3 linked regions of the Ovis aries genome follow. The protein of the gene in region 1 purifies or fractionates together with the protein of each later gene. This does not show direct contact. Links are inferred from orthologs where the notes say so. Each region holds a gene or a part of one and is shown in the gene's direction. Other genes may lie near its edges.

Region 1 (3,647 bases):
ACCCCTCCTGGCGGGACTTCTCTGGAGGTCCAGTGGTTAAGATTCTGCACTTCTGTTGCAGGGGGCACGGGTTGGCTCCCTGGTCAGGGAACTAGCATACTGCATTGTGTTCTTGCTGAGTTGCTTCAGTCATGTCTGATTCTGTGCAACCCTATAGACTGTAGCCTTCTCTGTCCGTGGGATTCTCCAGTCAAGAATCCTGAAGTGGGTTGCCATGTCCTCCAGGGGATCTTCCCAACCCAGGGATCGTACCTGCGTCTCTTACCTCTCTTACATTTGGCTGGTGGGTTCTTTACCACTAGCACCACCTGGGAAGCCCTGCATGCTGCATGGCATAGCCTAAAATTTTAAAAAAACAAAACAAAACAAAAACCCCTGAATAACTCTCTGAGCTCATATCCCAGCATCCTGCACCTCAATGTACTTGTTTTTTTTTTTTTTTTTTTTTATTAATTTATGGCTGTGCTGAGTCTGTGTAGCTTCATGTAGGCTTTCTTTAGTTGCCGTGCATGGACTTCTCATTGCAGTAGCATCTCTTGTTGCAGAGCAAGCTCTACAGTGCACGGGCTTCAGTAGTTGCAGCGCACAGGCTTAGTTGCCTTCTTGCACCAAACAATATGTGGAATCTTCTGAACCAGGGGTCGAATGTTTGTCCCCTGCGTTGGCAGGGAGGCTTGCAAGCAGTGGCTGCCCATGGAATTCCCTCAGGACACTTCTGTATGCTGGATCTTTGTCTCTGCTGCTTTTCCTTTCCTTCCCGTTTCTCCGTCTGATGAGCTGCTACTTATGCTTAATAAGTGAAGCTATAAGGTGTCTTTCACCTGAAGCCATCTCTCACTATTCTAACGACACTGCGGTGTGGTTGTTGGTTGTGTATATCTACCACTCCTAGCAGACTGTGAACCCCTCCCCACAGATGCTGCATTCTACTTGTCAGTCTCTAGTTTTTATCCACGGCTGGTTCATAATAGGTGCTTAATAAGTATTTAATAATAAGCATCACTAGTGTGATAGGGATTGTGCTATTGACTTGCATTGAGTACGGTAATACTTTTTTGTCTGGACAGGTGCCATGATCCTTTAGGTGAAACGAAAGAAATGGCCAAGTGTTTGTTTCAAGATTTTCCTTTTCCCTCCCTCGTTTAGATAAAGAAATATCTGATGACGACGGGTCTGCAGATGGAGATTCAGAGGGCCTGGGCCTGGAGGAGTTTGATGAGGAAGCCCTGAGTGCTGAGGATCAGGAGGGTGAGGACGAGGGGGACAGCAGCCTGGCCTGGAAGAAGAGGAGCGGGAGCCACTCACGGACATCGTCGGGCTTCAGTGTCCAGAGCATCAGTGACTTTGAAAAATTTACTGAGGGAATGGACGACCTTGGTAGCAGTGCGGAGGAAGAGGAAGATGAGGAGGAGAGTGGTATGGAAGAAGGGGAAGGTGAGGAAGACTTTGAAGATGCGGGTGAGGAAGACAAGGCCGAATCCAGGGCCAGTGAGGACGACAGGGTGGTGATGACCTTCTCTGAGGTCAGAGTTTCCGAGGAGGTGGAGAAAGGCCGAGCTGTGAAGAATCAGATAGGTTTGTACACTGTTTGCTTGTTTTTCAGAGTGTCTGCATTTGCTCTCCGTTTTGTTTGTCTGTTTGTTTTAGGCAGTTTGCTCTCTCCCTTGTGTGTGTGTATGTGTGTGTGTGTTAATCACTCAGTCTTGTCCAACTCTTTGTGACCCTGTTGACTGAGCCCGCCACGCCCCCCCGTCTGTGTAATTCTCCAGGCAAGAATACTGGAGTGGGTAGTCATTTCCTTCTCCAGGGGATCTTCCCGACCCAGGGATCCAACCCACGTCTCCTGCACTGCAGGCAGATTCTTTACCATCTGAGCCACCAGGGAAGCCCTTGCTCTCTCCTGTGTCTTGTGTCCTGTCAGTTTGTTGGTGACGTGCCCCACTTACCTAGAGGCCTAAAGCACCATTCCCCTCTGCTTGGCCCACCCCTGCTACCCTCACCTGCTTCGCTGGCTCTGCCCTAGTACTTCGGGCGGCTGAGGAAGGTTGAGGAGACGAGCATCTTCTCTCATTGGGCTGTAGCATCCTTTCTCTCAGGTAGCAAGTCAAGATACTGGATTTATCCAGATATCTCGTGCGTCCAGATACTGGATTTATTTCCTGTAATAAATAGAGCGTCTCCATCGCATGAAACTGTGATAAAGCCGTGCTGCTTAGAGGCTGTTTTGATTTCTGGTCCCTCCCCTACTCCCCACCCCAGGAAGATTTTATAACTGAGAAATGGAATTCTATTTTCTGTCTCAGCACTGTGGGACCAGCTCTTGGAAGGAAGGATAAAGCTGCAAAAGGCTCTGCTGACCACCAATCAGCTTCCTCAACCAGATGTTTTCCCTGTCTTCAAGGACAAAGGTGGCCCAGAATTTGCCAGCGCCCTGAAAAACAGTAAGAGTACTTATGCCTCACTGGGATGCACAGAACCCTGGGGGTTCATTGGGATCTACTGGGATTGTATTCACAGCACCACGGAGTTGAGAAGACTTGGCTTTAGTGATGATATAAGATAGTGATTTTTAAGTTAAAAAAGATAGCAGTATAACCCTTTTGTCAGATGAAGGCAACTTTGATCAAGACAGATGGAGTTCTGTCTATTCTCCTTATTTCTACCCCTGATCTCACATGCTCTCCTCCTCCCCTTGGTTTTGAGTAATTTAAAAAAATTTTTATTTTAAAATCTAGGTTTTTTGTATTTATTTATTTGACTGGGCTGGGTCTTAGTTGGGACACACAGGATCTTTGATCTTTGTTGCGCCATGCTGGGTGCTTTAGTAGTGGCATGAGAACTCTTGGCTGCAGCATGTGGGATCCAATTCCCTGACCAGGGTTTGGACCTGGGAACCCTGCACCGGGAGTGCGGAGTCTCAGCCACCAAACCTTGAGGGAAGTCCCTGAGTTACTCTTTTAATGCTCAGAGAGAACCCACTGGTACAAAACGAAAGGGAGACAGTAAGTGACTAAACTCAGTTGGTTTAAGTTGTGTATCATGTGCTTAAAGGATGCCTTGCTTTGTTGGGTAGTTTCTAGAACAACATACAGAGATGACCTTACTTCTGTCTTCCTCTGAGTTGCATAGAGTGAGGAGAAGGTGGGGACCACAGAAGGAAGAAAAAGTTGTAAAGAACTCCTGGTCTGTGAAGTCCCAGAATTTTAGAAAAGAAAAGGAGTTTAGTAATTATTTTCCAGATGAGAGAACCAAAGTCCAGAGAGAGTGAGTTGCCCATAGTTATATAGCCAGATCCCTCCTGGCAGAGACAGACTCCTCCAGCCTTTTCTGCCTTCCAGTCTTGGAGCTGCCTGCTGTATGCCCGTGTGCCCAGCGGCACTGAGGACTGGGGCTGAGGGAGGTATGGGGTGCTGGGATTGCCATCCCTTGTTTGCAGGCTGAGACTTAGTGGTTTTTTTTTTTTTTTAATATTGATTGATTTGGCTGTGCTGGGTCTTGGTTGTGGCATGCAGAATTTTTGGTAGTGGCATGTAAGATCTTTACTTGTGGCATGTGAACTCTTAGTTGCGGCATGTGAGATCTAGTTCCCTGACCAGGGATTGAACCTGGGCCCCCTGCATTGGGAGTACGGGGTTGGAGCCACGGGA
Region 2 (2,603 bases), on another chromosome or scaffold:
ACGCTTGGTTCCAGTTCATTATGGTATGAACTGTGGCTGCTGCTTCCTCTGTGTGAATTGTGTTTCTCTTCTCTGTTCTGGGATAACCCTTGCTGATTTTTAATCACATAGATGAAACAGAAGCTGAGCGGGAGAAGAAGCGCCTAGAACGAGCCAAGAGACGGGCATTGAGCAGCTCTGTCATTCGTGAGCTAAAGGAGCAGTACTCAGATGCTCCAGAGGAAATCCGAGATGCTCGGCATCCTCATGTTACTCGCCAGAGTCAGGAGGATCAACACAGGTGTGTTAGAAGTTGTTTCTATGCTATAGGGACTTGTCCTTTTGTTTTGAATGAATATGATTAATCTGATTCCAAGAGAACCCATGTTATGTAGGAAATGGAGTACTAAACTTGGGTTAATGATTTCTAAGAATTAGAGTTTTGAAGTACATTATGGGGACTAGGGGAAAAATGTTGTTTTCCCACCCCTCAGACCCAAGCTGTTCAAGCTGAGCAAATGCTCCATGGAGGAAAAAAATATGCATTGCCACTGACTAAGGCTCTAAAGTTCTGTTTCACTATCCCTGCTCTTTATTTTCTGAAGAAAGCAAGAAAATCAGGTTTTTAGATTAGCTTAGGGAAGGAAAGTAGAAAAGCAATTGTTGAACACAAATTTGTCAACTTTGCCTAGGTGACTGTCTCTATAGTCGATAGATGTCAGTGAGGGGATCCTGTTTATGAAGCTGGAATACAAAGAATTTTCTTATGTAATAATTTAAATATTCCTGTGGACGGGCTGTGAGTTCATTTCTGGGGAGGAGGGACGTTTTAGCACAAAGAGCATTTCATTGAACATTGAGTACTGAGCATATAGTATCACCTCAGCAAATACTGTGGTGACTAGCTATGAAATTTCTTGAGAACTGTCTACATGATGGCTGAGTAAACACCTGGGCCAGGTTCTTGGCTGCAGCTTTCTGCCTCAGTGGACTGAGCATGCTGGAAACTGTCTATGTTTCTCTTGCAGGATTAACTATGAGGAGAGCATGATGGTGCGTTTAAGTGTCAGCAAGCGGGAGAAAGGACGGCGAAAACGAGCAAATGTCATGAGCTCACAGCTTCATTCCCTCACACACTTCAGTGACATCAGTGCTCTGACAGGAGGAACTCCTCATCTTAACGAGGTGAGGTGCTGATCCAGTGGTGGGAGGTGACCTTCATGCTTCAGCTAACTGTATGTGGGCTTATTACCACGAGGAACTTGGAAAGGGACACTAATATTGAAAGCGCACAGCCATTCCTTCCCTTCTCCGTGCATCTCCAGGATCAAAATCCTACTAAGAAGCGGAAGAAGATACCTAAGAAAGGTCGGAAGAAGAAAGGTGAGTGAATGGCTCAGACCTGGGTGATCAAGCGCAGGGTGGGCTTTATAAATTGAGATGCCGGCTCTGGGTTTGCCATTCTAGTTCTTACCAACCTCTACAGTGTATCTTCCATACTGGGCACTAATCTCTTTAGATGTGAGCCTTATTTTTTTCTTTTCCAAGATGAAAATCAGTATCATTCACAAAAGAGACTTCTGGATTCTGTCTCTGAAATCCCCATAGCTCCTGTGCAGGCTTGCTTACGTAAATATAAAAGCATCGCTTGAAGGAACTGCTATCCAATGTCAGTTTCCTTCCTCCTTCCTGTCTCTCATCCTGGGAGGATACAGAGCACTGCCACGGGGACCCACTCCTAAGGAGCCCTTTTCTCTAGATGGTCTTTTTGTCTGTCTCTTCGGTTTTTTCCAACTGTCCTTTGCCTCATTCTTGGTTTCCCTTCCTTTCAGGTTTTCGGAGGCGGCGGTGATTATGGGTGTACATACTTAATTTATTTTTGTCATCTGGGATACTTCTAATTTCATTGTATGTAGGTTTTTTCTTTGGAATTCATTAATCATATACTCTGGACATGTGGAAAGACCTTTATTAATAAAATTGATTTTACTTAACAAATTCAAGCCCCTTTTGCACATGTATTATATGACTGGAATCTCTGGGTGTGGGTATTTTTGGTGAGAGGGTGATGGAAAAGGGAAAGAGGAGATCTTGGGGGAGAATAAGAAAGTTTGGCTTTATATGGTTTTCTTTGACAAATATGTTCCCCAGAAACTAGAAATTGGCTAGTCAAAAAATATTGAGAGATTAGAGTAGTGTAATACATTCTTTTACCCCCATGTTGCCCCAAGTTCTTGTATGATTTATTGTTGTGATAATGCAGATAATCTGAAATATACGGACATTTTAAGATTTATTATGTATCTTATGGGGATCCCCAGGTGGCTCAGTGGTAAAGAACCCGCCTGCCAATGCAGGACATGTGGGCTCAATCCCTGCATCAGGAAAGATCCCCTGGAGGAGGAAATGGCAACCCACTCCAGTATCTTTGCCTGAGAAATCTCATGGACAGAGAAGCTTGGAGGGCCACAGTCCATGGGGTGGTAAAGAGTCTGTCACGACTGCACGCAGGCAATGTATCTTTTTGACCACCAGATGGCATTAGTGTTCAGAAAACCTTTGGTTTTGACTGTAATCAAATACTATTAAATGGAACCTTTCCTCATAACCAAGTTATTCGTGTT
Region 3 (3,647 bases), on another chromosome or scaffold:
ATGAATCCACCACTAGTGTACATGCATTCCCAAACATGAACCCCCCCTCCCACCTCCCTCCCCATAACATCTCTCTGGGTCATTCCCGTGCACCGGTCCCAAGCATCCTGTATCTTGCATCGGACATAGACTGGCGATTCGTTTCTTACATGATAGTATACATGTTTCAATGCCATTCTCCCAAATCATCCCACCCTCTCCCTCAGAGTCCAAAAGTCCGCTATACACATCTGTGTCTCTTTTGCTGTCTGGCATACAGGGTCATCATTGCCGTCTTTCTAAATTCCATATATATGTGTTAGTATACTATATTGGTGTTTTTCTTTCTGGCTTACTTCACTCTGTATGATCGGCTCCAGTTTCATCCATCTCATCAGAACTGATTCAAATGTATTCTTTTTAATGGCTGGGTAATACTCCGTTGTATATATGTATATATATTGTATATATGTACCACAGCTTTCTTATCCATTCATCTGCTGATGGACATCTAGGTTGTTTCCATGTCCTGGCTATTATAAACAGTGATGCGATGAACATTGGGGTACATGTGTCTCTTTCGATTCTGGTTTCCTCGGTGTGTATGCCCAGCAGTGGGGTTGCTGGGTCATAAGGCAGTTCTATTTACAATTTTGTAAGGAATCTTCACACTGTTTTCCATAGTGGCTGTACTAGTTTGCATTCCCACCAACAGTGTAAGAGGGTTCCCTTTTCTCCACACCCTCTCCAGCATTTATTGCTTGCAGACTTTTGGATCACAGACATTCTGACTGGTGTGAAGTGGTACCTCATTGTGGTTTTGATTTGCATTTCTCTAATAATGAGTGATGTTGAGCGTCTTTTCATGTGTTTGTTAGCCATCCGTATGTCTTCTTTGGAGAAATGTCTATTTAGTTCTTTGGCCCATTTTTTGATTGGGTCATTTATTTTTTTGGAATTGAGCTGCATAAGTTGCTTGTATATTTTTGAGATTAGTTGTTTGTCAGTTGCTTCATTTGCTATTATTTTCTTATGTTGCTTTTTAATAAATTGTTGAGTAAGATGTTTTTAAGCTGTCTTCCTGGGCAGATTTTATTCTAATATTAACTTTAAATTTTGACATTCTTTTTCTTACAGAGCCTTCCTAATATTCTCACTGATGATCGATTTAAAGTTATGTTTGAGAACCCTGACTTCCAAGTAGACGAAGAAAGTGAAGAATTTAGGCTTTTGAATCCACTTGTTTCCAAAATTAGTGAAAAAAGGAAGAAGAAACTGAGACTCTTAGAACAACAGGAACTTCATGGAAAAGTAATGTACTGTTTATCATTTAGAATTTGTGTAATATTTAGTTTTCTGTATAGGTTAGAAGAGTCATTGAATAAAGCTATAATTTGTTTGACCTTCAGCTTAGGAATATACCTTCTTTTATTAAAGACTTTTTTCTAATGCACGCAATGTCACAGACTCTGATAGGTTAATGCTATTTAAAAGGAAATAACGGGTCGATATTTTTGGCAGAGGGAAAGGAGCTGCTTCTTAACTATTTTTATTTTCAGGAAGAGGAGGAAGAACCGGAAGGAAAACCAAGTGATGCAGAAAGTTCTGAGAGTTCAGATGATGAAAAAGACTGGGTCGCAGAGGTCAGGAAACAGCGCCGGCTTCTCCAACAGGAGGAAAAAGTGAAGAGGCAGGAACAGCTCCGGGAGGATCAGCAGACGGTCCTCAAGCCGCAGTTCTATGAGATCAAAGCTGGCGAGGAATTCAGAAGCTTCAAAGATTCAGCCACAAAACAGAAGCTGATGAAGTGAGTAATGCTGCCCCTGATCCTGGCTTGCTCAGTGTCCAGCCTTGCTCTTCCTGGCTGGCCCTGTGCCCTCAAGGGGTCATCTTGATCTTTGGAGTTCATGTGACAGTAGCAGCTCGAGGCCAGAGGGGACATACACTGGTCCTTACTGTAGTGATTCTGAACAACTTTTTGAGGCATAGTTTACATAGAGTAGGATGCAGGGTGTAGCCCCAGGAGTATTGGTAAATACGTACATTAGAGCACTTTGATTCTGCAAAACCCACACTCTTAAAAATGATGGTGGCAATTGTAGAGGTAACAGCTTCTTTTCACAAAAAGTTATTTTTAAAATATTTCAGTTACGTTTACTCTCATCGTAGCTTATCTGAGTATTTAAAAGGTCACTTGGAAAATTTGCCAGGAATTTTTTTAGCTTTATGTAGGAAAACAAAGAGATCAGAAAGAATGGTATTCTGGAATAGGTGAGTACACAGGAACAGAAAGTGGAATGGTGGTTGCCAGGGTTGGGTCCTGGGGAGACACCACTTAATGAGCTATGCGGTTTCCATTTGGAATGATGAGAAAGTTCTAGAAATGGATAGTGATAATGGTTGCACAACAGTGTGACTGTTCACTGAAGAATAGTTAAAATGGTAAGTTTTATGGTTAAATATTTTACTACAGTAAAAATTTTAAAAAGTCATCGTTAAAAAGAAATGGTATTATTTGAACAGTCTCAGTTGTCAGGTGTCTAAGTAAGGAGTTAGGTGTTTAAGCCCCCAGTGTTTATAAGCTCTAAGTCACATGAGAGTCACATGAAATTCTCTGCTTTGAGAATTTCTTGGCCGAGTGTTGATATACGGGATCTGGATGTAATAGAGTAGACAATCTTGTAAGAAGAGCCTAAAGGTCTGGGAGGCCAAGGGGAAAGGGCGGGGGGTGCCAAGCAAGGCAGATGAGGCATCAGACAGGGGCTGTTCCAGTTCTGTGCCCTGTGCTTTTCTAACCCCCAGCTTCCTGGTTTGAAAATTGTGCTTTTTCAGACAGAAGAAGAGGGGAAAGGTGGGGAGGACATTGATAGATAGACTGAATTGTTTCTGGAATGGAGAGATGCCCATTCATCTTTATTTTGCCAGTTTCTAGCGAATGTCTGAGGCACAAAATGTTGAGGGAATCCTTCAACTTAGATCCAGGAGCATCTAGAAATTCTGGCTGTGCCTAACAGAAGATACATCAGTAGACAAACAATCTAGTAATAGGTTTAATATCTCATGAGAAGATTTTCTTTACCTACCAACCTCACTTTTTTTTGGTAACAAGTTTCTTTAAATGTAATTTACATAACTATCACATACATAAAGTACATAGTCCACTGGTTTTTGGTATAGTCACAGAGTTGGACAGCCACCGCCAGAGTCAGTTTTAGAGCGTTTCGTCACAGCCCCACAAGCAGAGTTCCTTACCCCATCCGTCAGTATTCACGCCCATTTACTCCATCTCATCTCACCCCCAGGCAACCACTGATCTGTTCTCTAGCTCTATAGGTTTGTCTTTTGTGACATTTCATGTGAATGTTATCATATATGTGGCATTTTGTCCCATTGCCTTTACTTGGAATGATGTCTTTAATGTTCATCCATGTGGTAGCATGTGTCTGTTCCATTCAGCTTTATTCCAGGGTATGGGTAATGCTGCATTTTATTTATCCATGTATCAGTTGATGGGTATGCTTGGTGTTTCAACCTTTCAGTGCTGCTGTGAACATCTGTATATGTGTTTGCATGGACATATGCTTTCATTTCTCCCGGGTGCATACCTAGGAGTGGGACTGCTGGTCACACGGTAACGTTATGTCTAACCTTCTGAGAAACTGTCAGAC

The links.
Region 2: the proteins of AATF (region 1) and NGDN purify together in Homo sapiens (affinity purification with mass spectrometry; 3 studies listed by BioGRID and IntAct, with this or other methods). This does not show direct contact. The link is inferred for Ovis aries from reciprocal best matches to the Homo sapiens genes AATF and NGDN.
Region 3: the proteins of AATF (region 1) and NOL10 purify together in Homo sapiens (affinity purification with mass spectrometry; 4 studies listed by BioGRID and IntAct, counting the BioPlex papers as one, with this or other methods). This does not show direct contact. The link is inferred for Ovis aries from reciprocal best matches to the Homo sapiens genes AATF and NOL10.

Annotation. Positions count from the first base shown.
Region 1 is NC_056064.1:13,005,473-13,009,119, forward strand, and holds part of AATF (protein AATF), read left to right. Parts: intron 1-1,146; coding exon 1,147-1,575; intron 1,576-2,303; coding exon 2,304-2,441; intron 2,442-3,647. UniProt on the Homo sapiens protein: Part of the small subunit (SSU) processome, first precursor of the small eukaryotic ribosomal subunit.
Region 2 is NC_056060.1:21,271,436-21,274,038, reverse strand, and holds the end of NGDN (neuroguidin), read left to right. Parts: coding exon 1-23; intron 24-111; coding exon 112-280; intron 281-1,007; coding exon 1,008-1,164; intron 1,165-1,304; coding exon 1,305-1,362; intron 1,363-1,811; coding exon 1,812-1,831; 3' UTR 1,832-1,977; downstream 1,978-2,603. UniProt on the Homo sapiens protein: Part of the small subunit (SSU) processome, first precursor of the small eukaryotic ribosomal subunit.
Region 3 is NC_056056.1:19,750,772-19,754,418, reverse strand, and holds part of NOL10 (nucleolar protein 10), read left to right. Parts: intron 1-1,116; coding exon 1,117-1,290; intron 1,291-1,538; coding exon 1,539-1,786; intron 1,787-3,647.